Linked DNA regions of Elephas maximus indicus. The protein of the gene in region 2 binds, or shares a complex with, the protein of the main gene of each other region. Links are inferred from orthologs where the notes say so. Each region holds a gene or a part of one and is shown on either strand. Other genes may lie near its edges.

Region 1 (10,144 bases), on a different chromosome or scaffold from region 2:
TGACTGAAAAAAACAGTAGTCAGAACTCAGGGGAGTTTTCCGTTCCTGCCTTGTCATCCCTGACGGACACAATGTGCTCGCTCTCAGACTCAGCATTCTGCTGCAGATCCTGAGGACCAGGCTACGAGAGGTCACGCCTGACGGGCAGGAACTAGAAGTCAGGCCCCCAGACCCTTCCATTCCAGGGGTGCTCCCACTCCCAGAACCTAGAGCCTCCCTCCCAAAACTCCATTTCCCCATAAATTGCTAGCTGCAAAATTCTTGACTGGTTTCAAGAAGTCACTGACTCCTTGGGAGAAGGGGACAGGTTGTTAAATGAGTAAAAAACCTTGATTCAAACCATTTCACTTAGAAAAATCAGAAAATCTATATGCCTAGCAATTAGGATACTAGCTAACCCATTTTTACTTATTAAACTGATGAAGTATCGCAATATTACTTTATTCAACAAGTATTTGCTGAATGCCTACTGTGTGCTACATGCAGTGCTAAGCAGGAGGTGAACAAACAGAGGTTGGTCCCTGCCCTCCTGGAGCTTACACTCTGGTGGGGGAGACAACCCAGGCACTAAACAAGTAAACACGTTATCTATTGTAACAACTTATAATTATTTAAGTGGAAAATAAATGAGGGTGCTGTGAGAGACAAAAGAAGACTTATTTTGAATTGACTGAAAAGGAAAGACAACTTTTAAAAGAGACACTCAAGCTGAGCTATCAAAAAGATAAGGAAGCTGGGAAGGGGGAGACACATACCAGGCAGAGGAATCAGCAAAGCAAAAATTCTGAGGTAGGAAAGGACTTGGAAGGTTGGAGGAACTTTCCGACTGCCCGCATGGCTGGAGTACAGTGTGTGTGTCTGGGAGGTAGGAAGAGTGGCAAGAGATAAGTCTGGTGAGTAGCCAGGTTACACAGGGTCCTGTAAGTCTCCTTGTAAAAACTGCATGGTGGGGGCATCTGACCTCCTCCAAATTCAGGAGGGGGAGAAGAGAGAATCAAAATCAGCAACAGCAAAAGGCTGATTCCTATGAGGTGGATGTCAAACATACCTCCACCCTCCAACCTTTTCACCAATTCTGACATCAGCCATCCCTCCCACAGCACTCTCTACTCCTTTGCTGGGTTTGGTAATTCAGCACAATGGCCACACAGAACTCAAAGACAATACTCATGACAATGGGGTTAATTAGGCCAATAACAGGTTACAATCCAGGATCAGAAACGACTCAGGATACAGTTCTTTGAACAGGACAGCCTCTTCTCAGCCATGCCTGCAGGCACAGGCCTCTCCCTGGCTTTCAGCCCCTCAGCCTGGCCTCTGCCCTGCTTGGGCAAGTGTTACAAAGTTCTCTAGCTCCGCCAATAAGTTCCTAGAGACACCCTACTCTGCCCGGAAGCTTTGGTCTTAAGGTGCTCAGCTCACTGGCTCTGTGTCTGCACACCCGCCGCAAATGCCTTACTCCACGGGCCAAGAAGCTCACTGTGCCTTCTGGCGCCAGCCTCCTGGTTCTGCTGCCGCCATCTCTTGCCATCTCCAGTGTTGCAGCTCTCTGTCTCCTGGGTCTAGGAGGTTCTCAGTGCAGGGATCCCGAGTTCAAAGGATGAGTTCCATTCCTAGCTTTTCTTTCTTGGTAGTAGTGAGATTCCCTTTTCTGCCTCTGGGATAGCTCATTTTAAGCCTAATGGGATGGCAAAACTGACCAATCCCCTCATTAGGGTTCCATACACGTTATTTGCATGGCCCCATCCCCACAAGGGTGCCATGTACCTTATTTGCATTAGCTACAAGTTGCCCAATCCCCTTGGTGGGCCACAAGCACCTTATTTGCATAGCCCCACCCAATCATTGTGTGGGAATCACAAAGAGTATGCCTAAACGGACCATATTAAGTAGTTCACTGCACTGTAATCCTAATAAGGAATTTGGATTTCCTCTAAGTGCAATGGAAAGCAAATGAAGGGTTTTACAAAAGGGGTGATACAATCTAATACTTTAAGATCGTTCTTTCAAATGAAATGGAAGTGGACAAGAGGGGAAGCCAAATGCTGTTGCTTAATCCAGACAAGAGATGAAGGACTAGAAAATTAGCAGCAGAGATGGTGAAAAATAACTACATTCAAAACGTATTCTGAAGGTGGAGGTAACAGTCCATGATGGACTGGATTTAGGGGTGAAGGAAAAGGGGACTAGATTTTTGGTTTAAGCAATTGAATGGGTAATGGTCCTAATAACTGAGATACAGGTTAGGTTAGGTAAGGACCAGGAAGGGAGCATAAGTAGTTCTGTTTTAAAACTGCTAAGTGTGAGTTGCCTTTTAGACATCCAAGTGGAGGTGTCAAGCAAGTAGAAGAGAACAGGAGCCTAGAGCTCAAGAGAGAGAACAGAACTTAGAAACATAATTTTAAGAATAATCAGCATATAGGTGGGTAAGATGACCAAGGGAGAGTGTGAGAGAATGCATCCCAGGACTGAGCCCTGAAACTTCAACATTTAGGAACCAAACAAGGGAGAGGTGGCTCCAGGAAAGGACTGAGTAGTAGTCCTTGATGTAGGACGAAAACCAGGAGAGCATGCCATAAAGCCAATGAAGAGTTTCCAGAACAAATGAGTAGGTAAGTATAGCAATTGCTGCTGAGAGATCAAGAAAGGTGAAGCCAGAAAATCAACCTTTGGATTTGACAAGACAGAAGGAAGACTCAGGTCATCTTCACAAGAGTCACTTCTGCACACTGGAAAGGATGAAAGTCCAACTCAATGGCTTAGAGAGTGAGGATAAACAGCACTTCCAAGAAGTTCTGCTGTGCCAGGAAGCAGAAATGAGGCAGTAGGTGGAGACCTGAAAGTGGACTATTCCAAGGTATTTCAAGATGTATAAATTAAAACAGGTTTGTACGCTAACAGGAAATGCTCTAGCAAAAACGGAGAAATTGATGATGCCCGCTTGGACCAGAATAATACATAATTAGTGTTTTTCAAGGTGTAGATTGAACCCCATTGTGGGTTGTGAAATCAATACAGTAGGTCATGTGGACATCCTTTTTAATGAAACAGAACAGACAGTATCAGAGTGAACTGCATACAGTAAACATTGTTTCATGTAACTTTTGTTTCAATTACGCTTAGATGTGTTAAGGTTAAAAAAAAAAAAGGTCTGCACAGCATATAACCATTAAACATAAGATGAAAGAACACAAAATAAAATGTGTGTATTAAATAATCAGTGCTATACCAAAAACCCAAACGAAACCCACTGCCATCGAGTCAATTCCGACTCACAGCGACCCTACAGGACAGAGTAGAACTGCTCCATAGTTTGCAAGGAGTGCCTGGTGGATTGGAACTGCCGACCTCTTGGTTAGCAGCCGTAGCACTTAACCACTACGCCACCAGGGTTTCCATCAGTGCTACGGAGAACACAATATAGGTATGTCTTCAAGTTAACGTCAACCACGTAAAAACCCATCCGCGGGGTTGATACAAAAACTTCTATTTGCATGTAGTACAATGGGCAAATATGGAAAAAACAACGTCGAGTTAAATTGTTAGAAGAGCTTTTACTCTGTCCTGTAAACACGCAAGAAACCCTGGTGGCCTGGTGGTCAAGTGCTATGGCTATTAACGAAAAGGTCAGCAGTTCGAATCCACCAGGCGCTCGATGTAAACTCTTTGGGGCAGTTCTACCCTGTCCTATAGGGTCACTATGAGTCGGAATCCACTCAACAGCAATGGGTTTGTTTTTTTGTTTATTTTTTTTAATAAACACAACCCCACACAGGGCTGTTTCTCCAGTCGAGGCTCACGCTCTCCCTAACTGCTCGTCAAACTTGGATGGCACCTCTCCCGAGTTAGGAAGGCACAGGGGCCTCCTGCCCGCAGGAGCACTTCCATCCCAGCACTTCTCCGCCCCCCTCCTGGTACTCCCAGGGGTGTACTCCTCTCCGAGTCCCCGCTCGGATACCGGCCCGGGTTTCCCACTGTGACCCAGAAAACGCTTTTAAACGAACGGGGCAGAGAGAAGGCACAGAGGAAAAAGCAGCCGGGCCCAGGGGCGCTCGGCCCGGTGTCCCAGGTACAAAGGCTCGGACGGAAGCACGAGTCTCTCTCTTCTGCGCCCACCTGGACCCCACGGGCCCTCCCCGACTGCGGTTCCCCCATGCGACGGGTCGCCCCATCCTCCCGTCTCTCGGCTTTCAACGGTCCAGTCGCCCCTAGCTGTTAGCGCCGGCTCCAGACTCCAAAACGCGTCCCGGGTGGCTTACACTTCCATGTCGTCCCCGTCTCGTCGCCTCCGGCCGCCAGGTGACTAAAAACCTCAACCTGAGCCGCCACAACTCCAGCTCTCCACGCTGAGCACCCCCTGTCGCCGGTCTGCGTCGCGGTGCATGCTGGGATCGCCGCGCTGCACGCCGGGAGCCCTCAGGGGGCGGTGATGGGGCGGGGCTTCAGGGAGCAGGAAAGTATCTGTTTAATCAGCGTGTTGGGTACGCGAATGCGTTCAGTGTCTGAAAATTCAGGGAGTCGTAGACTTCTGTGCAGTTTTCTGTACGTGTGTTACAATTGAATAAAATGTTTTTTAAAAGTGGAAAAAAAAAATCCCAGCCCCCCCCCCCCCCAACCCGTTCCCATTTTTCCTTGAGGGTTTACTGGCAAGAGATATGAAGAGCCTTAAAGCCAGCCACAGTCTCTGACTGTGGGGCCTTTCTGGGAATTTCTCCAAAGGGAATTATCAGATGCTTGAAAGAGAGAGATGTATGTGTAGTGATGTTTTTGCTGGGAAATGACCGAAATGCCCAATAATGGGGAATCGATTGAATTATGTTACAGCCATACAATATATGCAGCCATGAAAAATCATGTAAAAGATGTGATATGCTAGGAAAATACTCAAAGTAGGATTGAAAAACATACAAAACAACGCGTGCTTCTAATTATCTACAGAAAAATAACCAACCAACGAAGCAGTTGCAGTCAATTTGATTCTGACTCGTGACGACCCCTGTGCCAGAGCAGAACTGTGCTCTACAGAGTTTTCAACGGCTGATTTTTCAGAAGTAGATTGCCAGGCCTATCTTCAGAGTGCCTCTATGCATAGGAAAAAAAAATGCCTAACGGTATGGGAGGTAGAGCTATCCGATTTATTACATTTTATGACTTTAAAAAAAATGGCGATTGTGGTGGATATCTATTATCATCTTCGTATGTTTGAAATATTTCTTTAAAAGACTGGAAGGAAATATCTGAAATATTAATGATGGCAGGTGCCTTCTGATGATGAGTCAATTGCTGATTTGTTCCTTTTTTATACTTTCACGTTTATTGATTCTCAAGCTCATTCTCTTTGCAAGGCCCTTGCTAAACAATTTGTTACTCCATGGAATTACCAGTTAACGGTGCGGGCTTTGCAGTCAGAGAGCCCGTGTTCCTGTTTACCCCCAGAACTTTCTTAGAGGATGTTTGACCTTGGGGACTTAACCTCTCCCAGCGTCAATGACCTAATCTGTAAATCATAAATCTGTTAGGTAATCCATATAAAGCTCAAGAAATTTTAAAAGTACACCCATGACACTCTACCCAACCCAGTTTCATTATTATTCACATTTTACAATTGAGGAAACTGAGGCAGAGGCTTGGAGAGATTACTATTTACCCAAGTTTCTCACCTCCAAACTTGTCCAGTAGGGATTCAAACCACACAATCTGAACAAATACAGGAGGCATATTAAATTGTTAATAGTGACTGGTGAATTGATAAAGTGTCCTATATTCATACAATAAAATAATACCATTTGGAATAAAGTACTTACTGACACATGGTATAACGTGAATGACCCTCAAAACCATTGTGCTAAGGGAAAGAAGTCATTGTATGATGTCATTTCTATGAAATGTCCAAAATAGTCAAATCTATAGAGACAGTGTTATGGATCGAATTGTGTCCCCCCAAAATGTGTGTCCACTTCCCAGTATTGTGTGATTGTCCAGCATTTTGTCATCTCATGTGATTTTCCTATGTGTTGTAAATCCTACCTCTATGATACTAATGAGGCAGGATTAGAGACAGTTATGTTAATGAGGCAGGACTCAATCTATAAGATTAGGTTGTATCTTGAGTCACTCTCTTTGAGATATAAGAGAGAGAAGAAAGCAGAAAGACAGAGGGACCTCATAGCATCAAGAAAGTAGTGCCAGGAGCAGAGCACATCCTTTGGATCCGGGGTTCCTGTGCCGAGAAGTTCTTAGACCAGGGAAGATTGATGACAAGGACTTTCCCCTAGAGTTGACAGAGCGCGAAAGCCTTTCCCTGGAGCTGGCACCATGAATTCAGACTTCTAGCCTCCTAAACTGTGAGAGAATAAATCTCTCTTTGTTAAAGATACTCACTCGTGGTATTTCTGTTATAGCAGCACTAGATAACCAAGAAAGATGGAAAGTAAATTAGGAGTTGCTTATGGCTGGGGGTGAGGAGGGGAATTAGACAGTGGCAGCTAATGGGCATGGGGTTTCTTTTAGGGGGTTGAAAATGTTTCAAAATTGAATTGTGGTGATGGCTACACAACTCAGTGAATATACTAAAAGCATTGAATTTTCCACTTTAAGTCGGTGAATTGTACGGTATGTGATGTGATACATCAACAGGGAACTGCCAGAAATTCAAGCCAGATTCAGAAGAGGACATGGAACCAGGGATATCATTGCCGATGTCAGATGGATCCTGGTTGAAAGCAGAGAACACCAGGAAGATGTTTACCCATGTTTTATTGACTATACAAAGGCATTCGACTGTGTGGATCTTAACAAACTATGGATAACATTGCGGAGAATGGGAATTCCAGAACACTTTATAGTGCCTATGAGGAATCAGTACATGGATCAAGAGGCAGTTGTTCAAAAAGAACAAGGAGATACTGCGTGGTTTAAAGTCAGGAAACGTATGCGTCAGGGTTGTATCCTTTCACCATCCTTATTCAATCTATACGCTAAGCAAATAATCTGAGAAGCTGGACTATATGAAGAATAACGGGGCATCAGGATTAGAGAAAGGCTCATTAACAACCTGCGATACGCAGATAATACAACCTTGCTTACTGAAAATGAAGAGGACTTGAAGCACTTACTGATGAAGATCAAAGACTACAGTCTTCAAGAAAATATTCTGCATTCCACTTTGGTAAGTAGTATCTGTGATCTTAAAACCTACCGAGTGCCCATCTAAGATGCGTCAATGGGTCCCAACCCACCTGGAGCAAAGGAGAGTGCATAACACCAAAGACACAAGGAAAATACTAGCCCAAGAGACAAAAAGGGCCACATAAACTACAGACTCCATCAGCCTGAGACCAGAAGAACTAGTTGGTGCCTGGCTACCACCAACGATGGCCCTGACAGGGAACACAACAGAGTCCCTAACGGAACAGGAGAAAAGTGGAGTGCAGAACTCAAATTCTAGTAAAAAGACCAGACTTAGTGGTCTGACTAAGCCTGGACGAACCCCAGAAGACATGGCCCCTGGATGCTTTGTCAATCCAGAACTAAAACCATTCCCAAAGCCAACTCTTCAGACAAAGATTCAATTGGACTATGAGACATGAAATGATACTCGTGAAGAGTGTGCTTCTTATTTCAAGTGGGTACATGAGACAAAATGGGCAGCTCCTTTCCGTAGGAGAGGTGAGAAGGCAGAAAGGGACAGGAGCTGGTTGAATGGACACGAGAATACAGGGTGGAAAAGAGGAGTGTCCTGTCACATTACAGGGAGAGCAACTAGGGTCAATAATAATGTGTATAAATTTTTGTATGAGAAACTAACTTGAGCTGAAAACTTTCACTTAAACTACAATTAAAAAAAAAAGAAAGACTACAGGCTTCAGTGTGGCTTACATCTCAACATAAAGAAGACAAAATCCTCACAACTGGACCAATAAGCAACATCATGATAAATGGAGAAAATACTGACGTTGTTGAGGATTTCATTTTACTTGGATCCACAATGAACAGCAGCCACCTTTCAGTTAGCAGCCAAGCACTTAACCACTGCGCCACCGGGGCTCCTTCCGTTAACGTTGTTGTTGTTAGGTGCCATCGAGTCGGTTCCGACTCATAGTGACCCTACGCACAACAGAACGAAACACTGCCCAGTCCTGAGCCATCCTTACAATCATTGTTATGCTTGAGCTCATTGTTCCAGCCACTGTGTCAAAACACCTCGTTAAGGGGTCTTCCTCTTTTCCGCTGACACTGTACTCTGCCAAGCATGATGTCCTTCTCCAGGGACTGATCCCTCCTGACTACATCTCCAAAGTATGTAAGACACAGTCTCGCCATCCTTGCCTCTAAGGAGCATTCTGGCTGCACTTCTTCCAAGACAGATTTGTTCATTCTTTGGGCAGTCCATGGCATATTCAATATTCTTCTCCAACACCACAATTCAAAAGCGTCAACTCTTCTTCTGTGTTCCTTATTCATTGTCCAGCTTTCACATGCATATGATGTGATTGAAAATACCATGGCTTGGGACAGGCGCACCTTAGTCTTCAGGGTGACATCTTTGCTCTTCAACACTTTAAAGAGGTCCTTTGCAGCAGATTTGCCCAATGCAACGCGTCTTTTGATTTCTTGACTGCTGCTTCCATGGCTGTTGATTGTGGATCCAAGTAAAACGAAATACTTGACAACTTCAATCTTTTGTCCGTTTATCATGATGTTGCTCATTGATCCAGTCGCGAGGATTTTTGTTTTCTTTATGTTGAGGTGTAATCCACACGGAAGGCTGTGGTCTTTGATCTTCATTACTAAGTGCTTCAGGTACTCTTCACTTTCAGCAAGCAAGGTTGTGTCATCTGCATAACGAAGGTTGTTAAGGAGTCTTCCTCCAATCTTGATGCCCCGTTCTTCTTCATATAGTCGAGCTTCTCGTATTATTTGCTCAGCATACAGATTGAATAGGTATGGTGAAAGAATACAACCCTGACGCACACCTTTCCTGACTTTAAACCACTCAGTATCCCCTTGTTCTGTCCGAACAACTGCCTCTTGATCTATGTAAAGTTTCCTCATGAGCACAATTAAGTGTTCTGGAATTCCCATTCTTCGCAGTGTTATCCATAGTTTGTTATGATCCACACAGTCAAATGCCTTTGCATAGTCAATAAAACACAGGTAAACATCCTTCTGGTATTCTCTGCTTTCAGCCAGGATCCATCTGACATCAGCAATGATATCCCTGGTTCCATGTCCTCTTCTGAAACTGGCCTGAGTTTCTGGCAGTTCCCTGTCGATATACTGCTGCAGCCAGTTTTGAATGGTCTTCAGCAAAATTTTGCTTGTGTGTGATATTAATGATAAAAATTGTTCTATAATTTCCACATTTGGTTGGATCACCTTTCCTGGGAATAGGCATAAATGTGGATCTCTTCCAGTCAGTTGGCCAGGAAGCTGTCTTCCATATTTCTTGGCATAGACAAGTGAACACCTCCAGCACTGCATCTGTTTGTTGAAACATCTCAATTGATAGTCCATCAATTCCTGGAGCCTTGTTTTTCACCAATGCCTTCAGAGCAGTTTGGACTTCTTCCTTCAGTAGCATCGGTTCCTGATCATATGCCACCTCTTGAAATGGTTAAATATCGACTAATTCTTTTTGGTATACTGACTCTGTGTAGTCCTTCCATCTTCTTTTGATGCTTCCTGCGTCGTTTAATATTTTCCCCCATGGAATCCTTCACTATTGCAACTCGAGGCTTGAATTTTTTCTTCAGTTCTTTCAGCTTGAGAAACGTCGAAAGTGTTCTTCCTTTTTGGTTTTCCATCTCCAGCTCTTTGCATGTGTCATTATAATACTTTGTCTTCTCGAGAGGTCCTCTGAAATCTTCAGTTCTTTTACTTCATCAATTCTTCCTTTTGCTTTAGCTGTCCGACACTCAAGAGCAAGTTTCAGAGTCTCCTCTGACATCCATCTTGGTCTTTTCTTTCTTTCCTGTCTTTTCAGTGATCTCTTGCTTTCTTCATGGAGGATGTCCTTGATGTCATTCCACAACTCGTCTGGTCTTCGGTCACTGGTGTTCAATGCATCAAATCTATTCTTCAGATGGTCTCTGAATTCAGGTGGGATATATTCAAGGTCATATTTTGGCTTTCGTGGACTTGC
Region 2 (9,529 bases):
AGACTTTTTTGAAGCTTAACAGATAACAGTATCACTAAGTGTATTTTCATTTTAAAACCCCCTTTGTTTAAACCTTAAACCAAAAACATTCCCTGAAGTCTTAAAACCAAACACCACTTTAGCTTAACTAGTAAAAAAACGTTCTCCTAAAGCATTACGCTCTTTTAAGAACTATCTACATAAGACCAAACTGACCAGAGCAACTCAAAAGATTAGACAGGAACCTTAGGGGCAGTGATTTTATGTTAATAAGGAAGTGACGACTCAGAAAAGGAGAGTGAGAGTGGTTACTCAACTCAGAGAACATAATCAGCGTCACTGAATGTTACATGTAGAACTGTTGAATTGGTGTACGTTTTGCTGTGCATATTCTCACAATAAAATAAGCACAATTTTTTTTTTTAATGCCCTTCACGAGTTCTCCTTATAACTTCTTTCTAAATGAATCTTGTGTCCTATTATGTGGGAGGATCCAAACCAGACATACAAAGCCAAAATTGCTAGATCAGAATTAGCAATACCCATAACCCAATTCTGACTCACAGTGACCCTACTGGAGAGAGTAGAACTGCCCCATAGGGTTTCCAAGGCTGTAATCTTTACGGAAGAAATCCTGGTGGTGTAGTGGTTAAGAGCTACAGGGTCTAACCGAAAGGTCGGCAGATCGAATCCACCAGGTGCTCCTTGGAAACCCTATGGGGCAATTCTACTCTGTCCTGTAGGGTCGCTAGGAGTGGGAATCCACTCGATGGCAATAGGTTTGTTTTTCTGAGGGGGAGGGAATCTTCCACCCGAGGAGCAGCTGGTGGGTTTGAACCGCTAACCTTTAGGTTCGCAGTTGAGCACTTAACCACTGCACCACCAGGGCTCCTTAGGATTAGCAGTAAGGAATATTATTTCATCAAATCAAATAAACTCAACCTACATGTAGTTTAACCTACACAGCATTACGCATGCTCCAAGCTCTCAAAAGTTATAGCCAAAACTATTTCTCTTAACACAGACACTAAAGTTAGCTGGGTCCATGAATCTTTCAGAGTAGCAGAACTGACAAGAAAAACAATAAACTAAAACTTAGTTTCTGAGTTGAACCTTGGGTAAGCTACTGCTACTGCTACTGTCTGCACACACTTCCAAATATATCAAGAAGTGCTGTATCCAAAGATTGGGAAGAGAAAATAAGGGAATAGTGGAAAACCTTTCAACCTAGCCCCACTGAACATGGCTCTGTTGGTGGATAAACAGTAAAAGATAAAACAGCTGTGAAGCAGTCCTTCTCACTGATTGGGTGAAGAAAACTTCCTAGCAGTAGTTCATTGAAAGTTAATGTAAATACCCAGCCTCTGGTGTTCTGAGAAAAGGAGCCCTGGTGGTGCAGTGGTTAAAGCGCTCGGCTACGAACCACGGGAAAACGATGTGGCAGTTTGCTTCCTTGGAAACCTGATTGGGCAGTTTTACTCTGTCCTATAGGGTCACTGTAAGTTGAAATCGACCTGAAGGCTGTGGGTTTAGTTTCAGTTGTTGTTCTGAGAGGCCTAAAGCCATGGGTGACCTTGTCATCCAACTAACACACAAAAAGTCAGTACCCTCTTGAGATGCAAATTCAGTCATAACAAAGAAATATTTTATTCATGATAAGATAAGCAGCATCTGGCTATCCTCAGAGAGACACCCAGGTTTCTCATGACATTCATCCAGTTCAGCAAACACCGCATGCCTAATGCATAGCGAGCAGCCCTGGTGGTCCAGTGGTTAAAGCGTTCAGCTGCTAGCAAAAGTCAGCAGTTCGAACCCACAAAATTTGCAGAGACTATTTTATTACCTATACTTATGGTGTTCATAAAGAGTATTGAATATACCATGGATTGCCAGAAGAACAAATAAATCTGTCTTGGAAGAAATACAGCCAGAATACTCCTCAGAAGCAAGGATGGCAAGACCTGTCTCAGGTACTCTGGACATGTTATCAGGAGGGATCAGTCCCTGGAGAAGGACATCATGCTTGGTAAAGAAGAGGGTCAGTGAAAAAGAGAAAGACCCTCTAAAAGACGGATTGACTCAGTGGCTACAGCAACGGGCTCCAAGAGCAACAATTGTGAGGATGGCACAGGACTTGGCAGTGTTTTGCTCTATAGCACATGGGGACACTATGACTTGGAATCTACTGGACAGCTCCTAACAACAATGACAACATTACCTATACTTACAGCTACCCATTTATTATAACCAGAAAGGATACAAGCAAAGAGACACATCAGACAAGATCCACTGTCCCCAGGCACAAACCTCACTCACCCTCTCCCCTGCGTGGATGTTCCGACTGATCCTGGAAGCCCCCCGAAAAGGGATTTCAAGGCCCAGAGTACCTTAGTCATTGGGACCTCAACGAATACGCATGACTGCATCACTTCCCCCTCCCTTCTTGAAGTCAGTTTGGTTTGCTAGATATGGGGCCTGTACAGCCCCTACTTGCCTGGCTATTTTAGAAAGGCAAAGAGCACCTTAACTGCTCAGGCTATTTTCAGAACCAGATACAAAAGGTCAAACTTAGTTCTTTGTCCCACACCCTGCTCTCTCACAAACTATCCATTGTCATTCACCTCACATTATTTTTCTCATGTTTGTCTTGTCTTCTCAACAAGATTGGGAGGTCTTTAAGGGCAGGGACCATATAGTCTTCCATATCACCTCCAAAACATCCAGTAGAGCCTTCTATGCACATAAAAAGTATTCAGTTATATTTAACCATGTCAGGCTTCAATTTATAAATAGGGCAAGACAGATAATAAACCAGACTTTGGAAATATCAAAAATTCTCCTTCAGGCTTCTAAGGCTTAGAAAAACACCTAAAAAGCCTTTCAAGTTATACTTTTCCGAGGGCATTTTGAAGTGAGGACTTCAGGTGGTAAGACGAAAAGATATACTAAATTGTGGAGGTTTGGACTAAGTTTTCTCATTCTTAAAAGCAAGGACCAGCAGTGTCTCAAAGATCAGAAGAGCTTCAGACTGCAGTGTTCAATAAGGCATCACATTCAACAACATGTCACTATTCACTACTAGCTGCATTCAGACCCCCTCAGTGAGAGTTCTGGGAACTCTTGATGTCTGCTGGGAAAAAACAAGGCACCTGCTCTTGCCAGCACTAAAATATAGCAAACACACACACACACATACAGCCAAATCAGAAACCAAACCTAAGTAGCATTTAGATGAAATTATGACTATGAAATTGGGGGTAGGCAGATAGAAAAGAAAAACGCTGGAAAAGCCTTAAAAAGCACAACTTTCAGATGAAAAGGCAAGAAATATCCTTTAGGCGCTTATTCACTGGACTCCATTTGTGTTTCTATGAAAGAAGAAGACGCGCAGACACACTTCAGTAGGCTTTCTCATAGATTGCATCTGAGATAATACACAGGTTATCTTGCGTAGCTACCCTGTCTTAACACTAAACCTAAAGACTTTTAAGGAAAGGAACAACCATAAGTAATTCTAAAAACAGCTGGTCAAGTGTAGAACTAACATTCGCCCTGGTGGGTCTCCCCCCAGCAGCTATACCCAACCCAAAACAGCTTCAGGTTTGGGGTGCTGGAGCTGATTAGCATGCCGCAAAAGCGTTTTCCTCAAAACCAGTGAACTACCTCTCTAGGAGGCTAACAGTCTGGCAGAAACTGGTGAAACCAATTTTGTATCAGAGGATGCAGTCCCCAACATTTTGTCCTAAATCTTTTTTCTTTTTAAGTAAGGGAAGTGGGTGAGGAAGGTGACACTGGCAACATCACAACTAAAATAAACCAAGTTGAAACAATATGTTCCGCCTCCTTCCTTAAGCCATTCTCTTCCAAAGTGATAGGGAGCTCAGGAAGTCTGCAAGTCATTAGTTCACTGCTGTTTTCACTTTCGCAAAAACCCTGGAAACCACTGAATAGCAAAATCGCCCTCTTCTCCCTATGTTTACTTTCCAATACTCCCTTTCCGTGCTTTCTTCCTTCCTTCCTTAGAGACAACCGAATAGTGACAATCATCAGCAATCCGCTATTCAACTTCACCGAGGAGGAGAAGGGACAAGGGGGAGGAGGGAGCTGCTGAAAAGTGGAGAAGGAAATAGGGGAAGGTGAGAAGCAAAAGCGCAAAGGAGAATGGGGTGGGGGAGGAAGAGAGGTCATCGTGGGAAGGAGACAAGATGAAGAGTGCAAGAAAATTGGGAGAAGAGTTGTCAGAGGAGAAGCTGCTAAGGAAGACAAAAAGAGGAGGGGGTCAGGTAAAGACAGGAAATGGAATAAGGGGCAAATGGAGCATCCGAGGAGAAAAATACGGGCCGCGGCGCCCGGGGCTTGGGACAAACGACCGGAGACGGTGGGCAGCAGGTATTCGGGGACCGAGTCAGCGGAATCAGGGCAGTGCAGGAAGCTTAAGACCTGTTTCCGGGCTATCGGGAGGAGGAATCCATGCAGGTGCCCGAGCGCAGAGGACACCGCGTTCTTACCGGTAGTTTCGGGCTAACCTCGCCCTTGCAAAAGTGGCAGAAAAACCGGTGCGCGGCTACAGCAGTCCCGGCCGCCGAGGCCTCCGCCATTTTCCTCCTCCGCCGCGGCTGGCGGACACGGCAGCCGGCCGGTCCCTCGCCAGGCCGCTGCTAGCCAGCTACGGCCGCCGCCTCCGCTGCCGCTGCCGCTGCCACCGCTGCCTCCTCTGTGCGACCCGCGGCTCCCGAGTCCGCGTCGGTCACGTGAGTCCGCTGGGCTCAGCCAGACGGCGCCGGCGCGGCCCGCGACCCCGCGGCCCGCCCCCAGCACCAAAAAGGCGCAAGAGAGTCCCCCAGCCGCGGCCCGCCCCGCCGGGTCCTCAAACAGCCCCTCGTCGGTCCTCCAACCTTCCAGCGAGAAGAAAGAAAGAGCGTCTCGGAAACCACTGAAACTCTGGGGTAGAGCGGCCCCCAATTTTACCGCTTCCTGGTTCTCCGGGGTGTTGGTCTTCTTGCGAGAAAGGGCTGTGGGCTCTCCCTCTGCCCGGGAGGCTAGTGGGAGCCGCGCGAAGTCGTTGGGATGAACTCGAGGTGTTAGGTTTGGAGCCCCCGGATTGCATTGACCCTGAGGTTAGTGGGAAATGCCGTATGAACGAAGCGGCCTTGGCTCTGGATCAAGAGACCAAGTTCGGAACGCGAACCTGCGTGAAGGGAGTGGAGATGCTGGAGCCAAGCTCCTTAGGAATCCTCTTCGAGGATGGCTAAGGGCCTGGGGATGCTTTTCCAAAGACATGTGGATGGGTGAAATAGGTCTCTGGCGACGCTGAGGCTGGGAGACAAACACTTGGATTCTGAGGGGTTGGGAGGACTACACGAATCAACCAGTATTTCGTAGCAGCTTGTGATCAAAAGGAAACTCTGGTGGCGTAGTGGTTAAGTGGTACGGCTGCTAACCAAAAGGTCGGCAGTTCGAATCCGCCAGGCACTCCTTGGAAACTCTATGGGGCGGTTCTACTCTGTCTTATAGGGTCGCTATGAGTCGGAATCGACCCGACGGCAGTGGGTTTTGGTTGGGTTTGTGATCATAAGGAAGTAACCCTAAAAAGAGTACCTGGGTTTTGCAAACAGTTAAGCATTAAGGTTGAAGATTCGAATCCACCCAGAGGCATTTCCTTAGAAAGGCCTGGTGATCCACTTCGAAAAATCAGCCGTTGAAAACCCTACGGAGCGCGGTTCTACCCTAACACACGTGGGGTTGCCATGAGCCAGAATGACTCCAGTGCAAGTGGTTTAATCGTATAATTAGCTATGTCCATTTTGGTTTGTGTCTATTTTGTCAAGGAGTAGAAATTTCATAATTAAATACTGCCCTGTAAACAGCATACTTCATCTCCTGTTTGAAGGACCCTGTCCTGTTAAGAAGCTCTACCTCCTAATTTCATTTTCCTTAACCAACTGGGACTGACACTGCCTGGTCACTCCTAGTGGGCTGTGAACACTCACTTCTTCCAAGCAATAGAATCTAAGGTCTGTGACAGATCACAAAACCATCTACAGCCAAACTTAAAAAAAAATTTTTCATCGTACATAATCTCATAAAGATAAATTTGATGCTGTACACATTCTAGCCTTGTTTTCTATGCATACGTGTTTTTTGTTTGTTTTTACAATAATTCAATTTTACTCCACGTTTTGCTTTGTAACTTGCTTTTTTCACTTAATACATTATGAACAACTTTTTTGTTAACACATACATACTATATGTCGTTTTAAATGTGGGTATAGTATTCTATCGTATGGAGATACCATAATTTATTGAACTGAGTCCTTATTGCTAGGATACTAGATTGTTTCTAGTATTTTAACGAGAACTACAGTGACGTGTTTTTATTATTTCCTGGGGACAGAGTACTCACAATGAAATTGCTGGGCCAAAAGTGTGCAAGATTTTAAGACTTTTGAAATATATTGCTACATCACCCTCCAGAAAGAGTACGTGAATTTATACTCAGCAAGTCTACAGTAAACACGCTCTACACGCAACATAAAAGCAAAATTTCCCATCATATACTTTTTTTCCTAGCTCTGAAGCCCCTCAAGTACAATGACCCAAGCAGAAATTAAGCTGTGTTCTTTGTTGCTGCAAGAGCATTTTGGAGAGATCGTAGAAAAAATTGGAGTCCACCTAATCAGAACTGGTAGCCAACCACTAAGAGTAATTGCCCATGACACAGGAACATCACTGGATCAGGTATGTTTAAATAGCATTAATGTACACTTCTGTCACCTACCTTTAAATATTGTTACTGCCCACCCAAGAAAATGGAAAAGGGAGGAAACCTGCCCTAGAATCAGAACCATGTTGTTTGGGGGAAAGAGAATGGGACTTAAGCCCCAAGGTCCTGCTTTTCAAAATGTTCCTAGTTCATTGTGGCTTCTTAGGCAAGTCATTCCTCTTCCCATTCCATGCCTCATTTGTTTACTATGATTCTATTAATCTCAGTACTACCTTTAAGGAATGAGAGAGAGAGAGCAAATTGTACTTTGAAAGAATCAGAGGGAATAGAAGCATCAGGAAGGAATTGTCCAGATTTCTTCCATTGACATGTGGTTCTTATTAACTACTCCAGGGGAGAGAGAAGCAGCACAGAGATTCCTCTCCAGCTATCTCCTGGTGCTTAGAAAACCGTTGGACAAAAATTGCCAGCAATATTGAGCTATGTCTTCAGGTCTCTCTTTCTTTGGGTTCTACCTAGGTTAAAAAAGCCCTTTGTGTCCTTATCCAACATAACCTGGTGACATACCAAGTACACAAACGTGGTGTGGTGGAGTATGAAGCCCAGTGCAGCCGGGTATTACGAATGCTGAGGTATCCCCGGTACATCTATACTTCCAAAACGCTGTACAGTGACACTGGAGAGCTAATTGTTGAGGAGCTGCTGTTGAATGGCAAAATGACAATGTCAGCTGTCGTGAAGAAAGTGGCAGACCGGCTCACAGAGACAATGGAGGGTCAGTACTGTATCCACAGCTGCTAGCCAAAGCTTAGATTATGGGGCTGCAGGAGCAGACCCTTAGCTATCTTAGACCGTCTAATCTGCCCCTTTGCTCCTGTTGTACAGATGGCAAGACCATGGATTATGCTGAGGTATCAAACACTTTTGTGCGACTGGCAGACACACACTTTGTGCAGCGCTGTCCCTTGGTACCTGCCACTGAGAATTCAGACCCTGGGCCACCGCCACCTGCTCCCACTCTTGTCATTAATGAAAAGGACATGTACCTAGTTCCTAAACTGAGCTTGATAGGTAAGGAATTTTGACTTTTCAAATTGTGATTTGTCCTAACTGTGGACTCTTCGTCATTTTTAAATGAATGCATGAATCGAGTATTCATCAAGTGATTGGTATGTGCAGAAGTTGTGGTATATAATAATGAAAAAACCAGCGTGACCCCTGCTGTTACGGGACTTTAGTATAGGAGATGTGCATTAATCAAATAATCACGTAAATATAGAATAACAAACTGTGATAAATACTGTGAAGGAAAACTATAGAGTGTTATACTTTTATAATATATAACAGGGACTGAGGGCTTAGGGCACATCCTTCTTTGAGAAAATGACATCACAGCTAAGATTTGAAGCTGAAGTAGGAGCCAACCAATGAGGGAGCATGGAGGGGTACAAAGGTAAGCATTTTTGGCAAAGGGAATAGCATGTAGGGAGAAAAAAAATAGGATGTTTGAGGAACCGTAAGAAGGTCAGTGTCACTAAAGCATGATGTGCAAAGGCAAGAGAGACGTAAGGTTAGAGAGATAGGCAGGGGCCAGATCAAGCAGCACTGTACAGAGCATCTGTTCTTTATCCTAAAAGCAAGGAATAACCACTTTAGAATTTTAAGCAGGGAAGTGACATGATCTAATTTACATTTTTAAAAGATGTTACTGTGTACAGAAAGGATGGGAGGATGGGACAATGGTAAATGTGGACAGAACAGTGAAAACTAAATATAGAAGGGGTGATGGAGGCAGAGGTATTAAGAATATCATCTAGGCATCTGACTTGCATGTGTGGGAGGATGTATGCCATTCGCTGTGAAAGGAAACATTGGAGGAAGACCAGTGTGAAGGAGAAAGATTATGAATTTCTTTTTGAACATGTTGAGTTTCAGATGCCTTCATCATTTACTTGCGTTTCTTATAGTTCCTCAGCCTCCTAAGCAACTCTAACCTAGAGGCAGCTTAGGATGAAGAGACACTGGTTCTTATGTTTGGTCATTTCTTGTCATCACGTGAGATGTAGCCTAACTGTTCTGTTTTATTTGGAAGGAAAAGGTAAAAGGAGGAGATCATCTGAGGAAGATGCTGCTGGGGAGCCGAAGGCCAAGAGACTAAAACATACCACAGAGAACAAAGAGGTAATGGGGCTGCTTGATGGGGAGTCCTCACCCTGAGACAGGCCAGGAAGAGCACCCAGATAACAAGCCCCAAGACAGCCTAAAAGTTCCTGAGCTGAGAACTAGTAGGATTATGAACTTCATTAAATATTGGCCAGGAATAGACTAATGTAGAATGAACACTCTTATTTATTTTTAAGGCGTAACTTCATTCATTGAACAGAAGTAACATTTATGCAAAAAGAGGGCCTGGAAAAAACTTAAGTTGTTTAGTATAGCCAGAACATAGAGACCCGTGGAGGCCAATGGTGAGAAATGACTCTAGAAATATATACCTAGGCCTAGGATTTATATCCAAATGCCTTCTCAGCATCCCTATAAGGATGTCTAGTAAGTATTTCGAAATTAACATGGCCAAAACAGAATAGTTGATTTCTCTGCAGATATTTGTTCCCTCTTAAGCTTGCCACTTCTTAGTAAAGGATACCACTATTGACTTCAGCCAAAACCTAGGAGCCATCCAATCTAGTGGTAAAACCTGTCAGCTCTGTTTCTAAAATTCCCTCAAATCCAACCACTTCTCACCTTTTCCACTGCTATTGACCTAGTCCAAGTCACTATCATCTCTTGTCAAGACTTCACCAACACTCTCCTAAATAATCTCCT

What was found. The genes of interacting proteins can lie anywhere in the genome.
Region 1: POLR3C (region 2) and CRCP share a complex: the UniProt entries of both Homo sapiens proteins name them as parts of the RNA polymerase III complex. The link is inferred for Elephas maximus indicus from reciprocal best matches to the Homo sapiens genes POLR3C and CRCP.

Annotation. Positions count from the first base shown.
Region 1 is NC_064830.1:103,354,817-103,364,960, reverse strand, and holds the start of CRCP (DNA-directed RNA polymerase III subunit RPC9), read right to left. Parts: upstream 4,378-10,144; 5' UTR 4,268-4,377; coding exon 4,260-4,267; intron 1-4,259. UniProt on the Homo sapiens protein: DNA-dependent RNA polymerase catalyzes the transcription of DNA into RNA using the four ribonucleoside triphosphates as substrates.
Region 2 is NC_064821.1:157,752,729-157,762,257, reverse strand, and holds the start of POLR3C (DNA-directed RNA polymerase III subunit RPC3), read left to right. Parts: upstream 1-5,006; 5' UTR 5,007-5,096; intron 5,097-6,373; exon of another isoform or gene 6,374-6,458; intron 6,459-6,549; 5' UTR 6,550-6,570; coding exon 6,571-6,717; intron 6,718-7,222; coding exon 7,223-7,478; intron 7,479-7,588; coding exon 7,589-7,774; intron 7,775-8,795; coding exon 8,796-8,884; intron 8,885-9,529. Other genes in the region: E3 ubiquitin-protein ligase RNF115, read right to left, coding at 4,488-4,577. UniProt on the Homo sapiens protein: DNA-dependent RNA polymerase catalyzes the transcription of DNA into RNA using the four ribonucleoside triphosphates as substrates.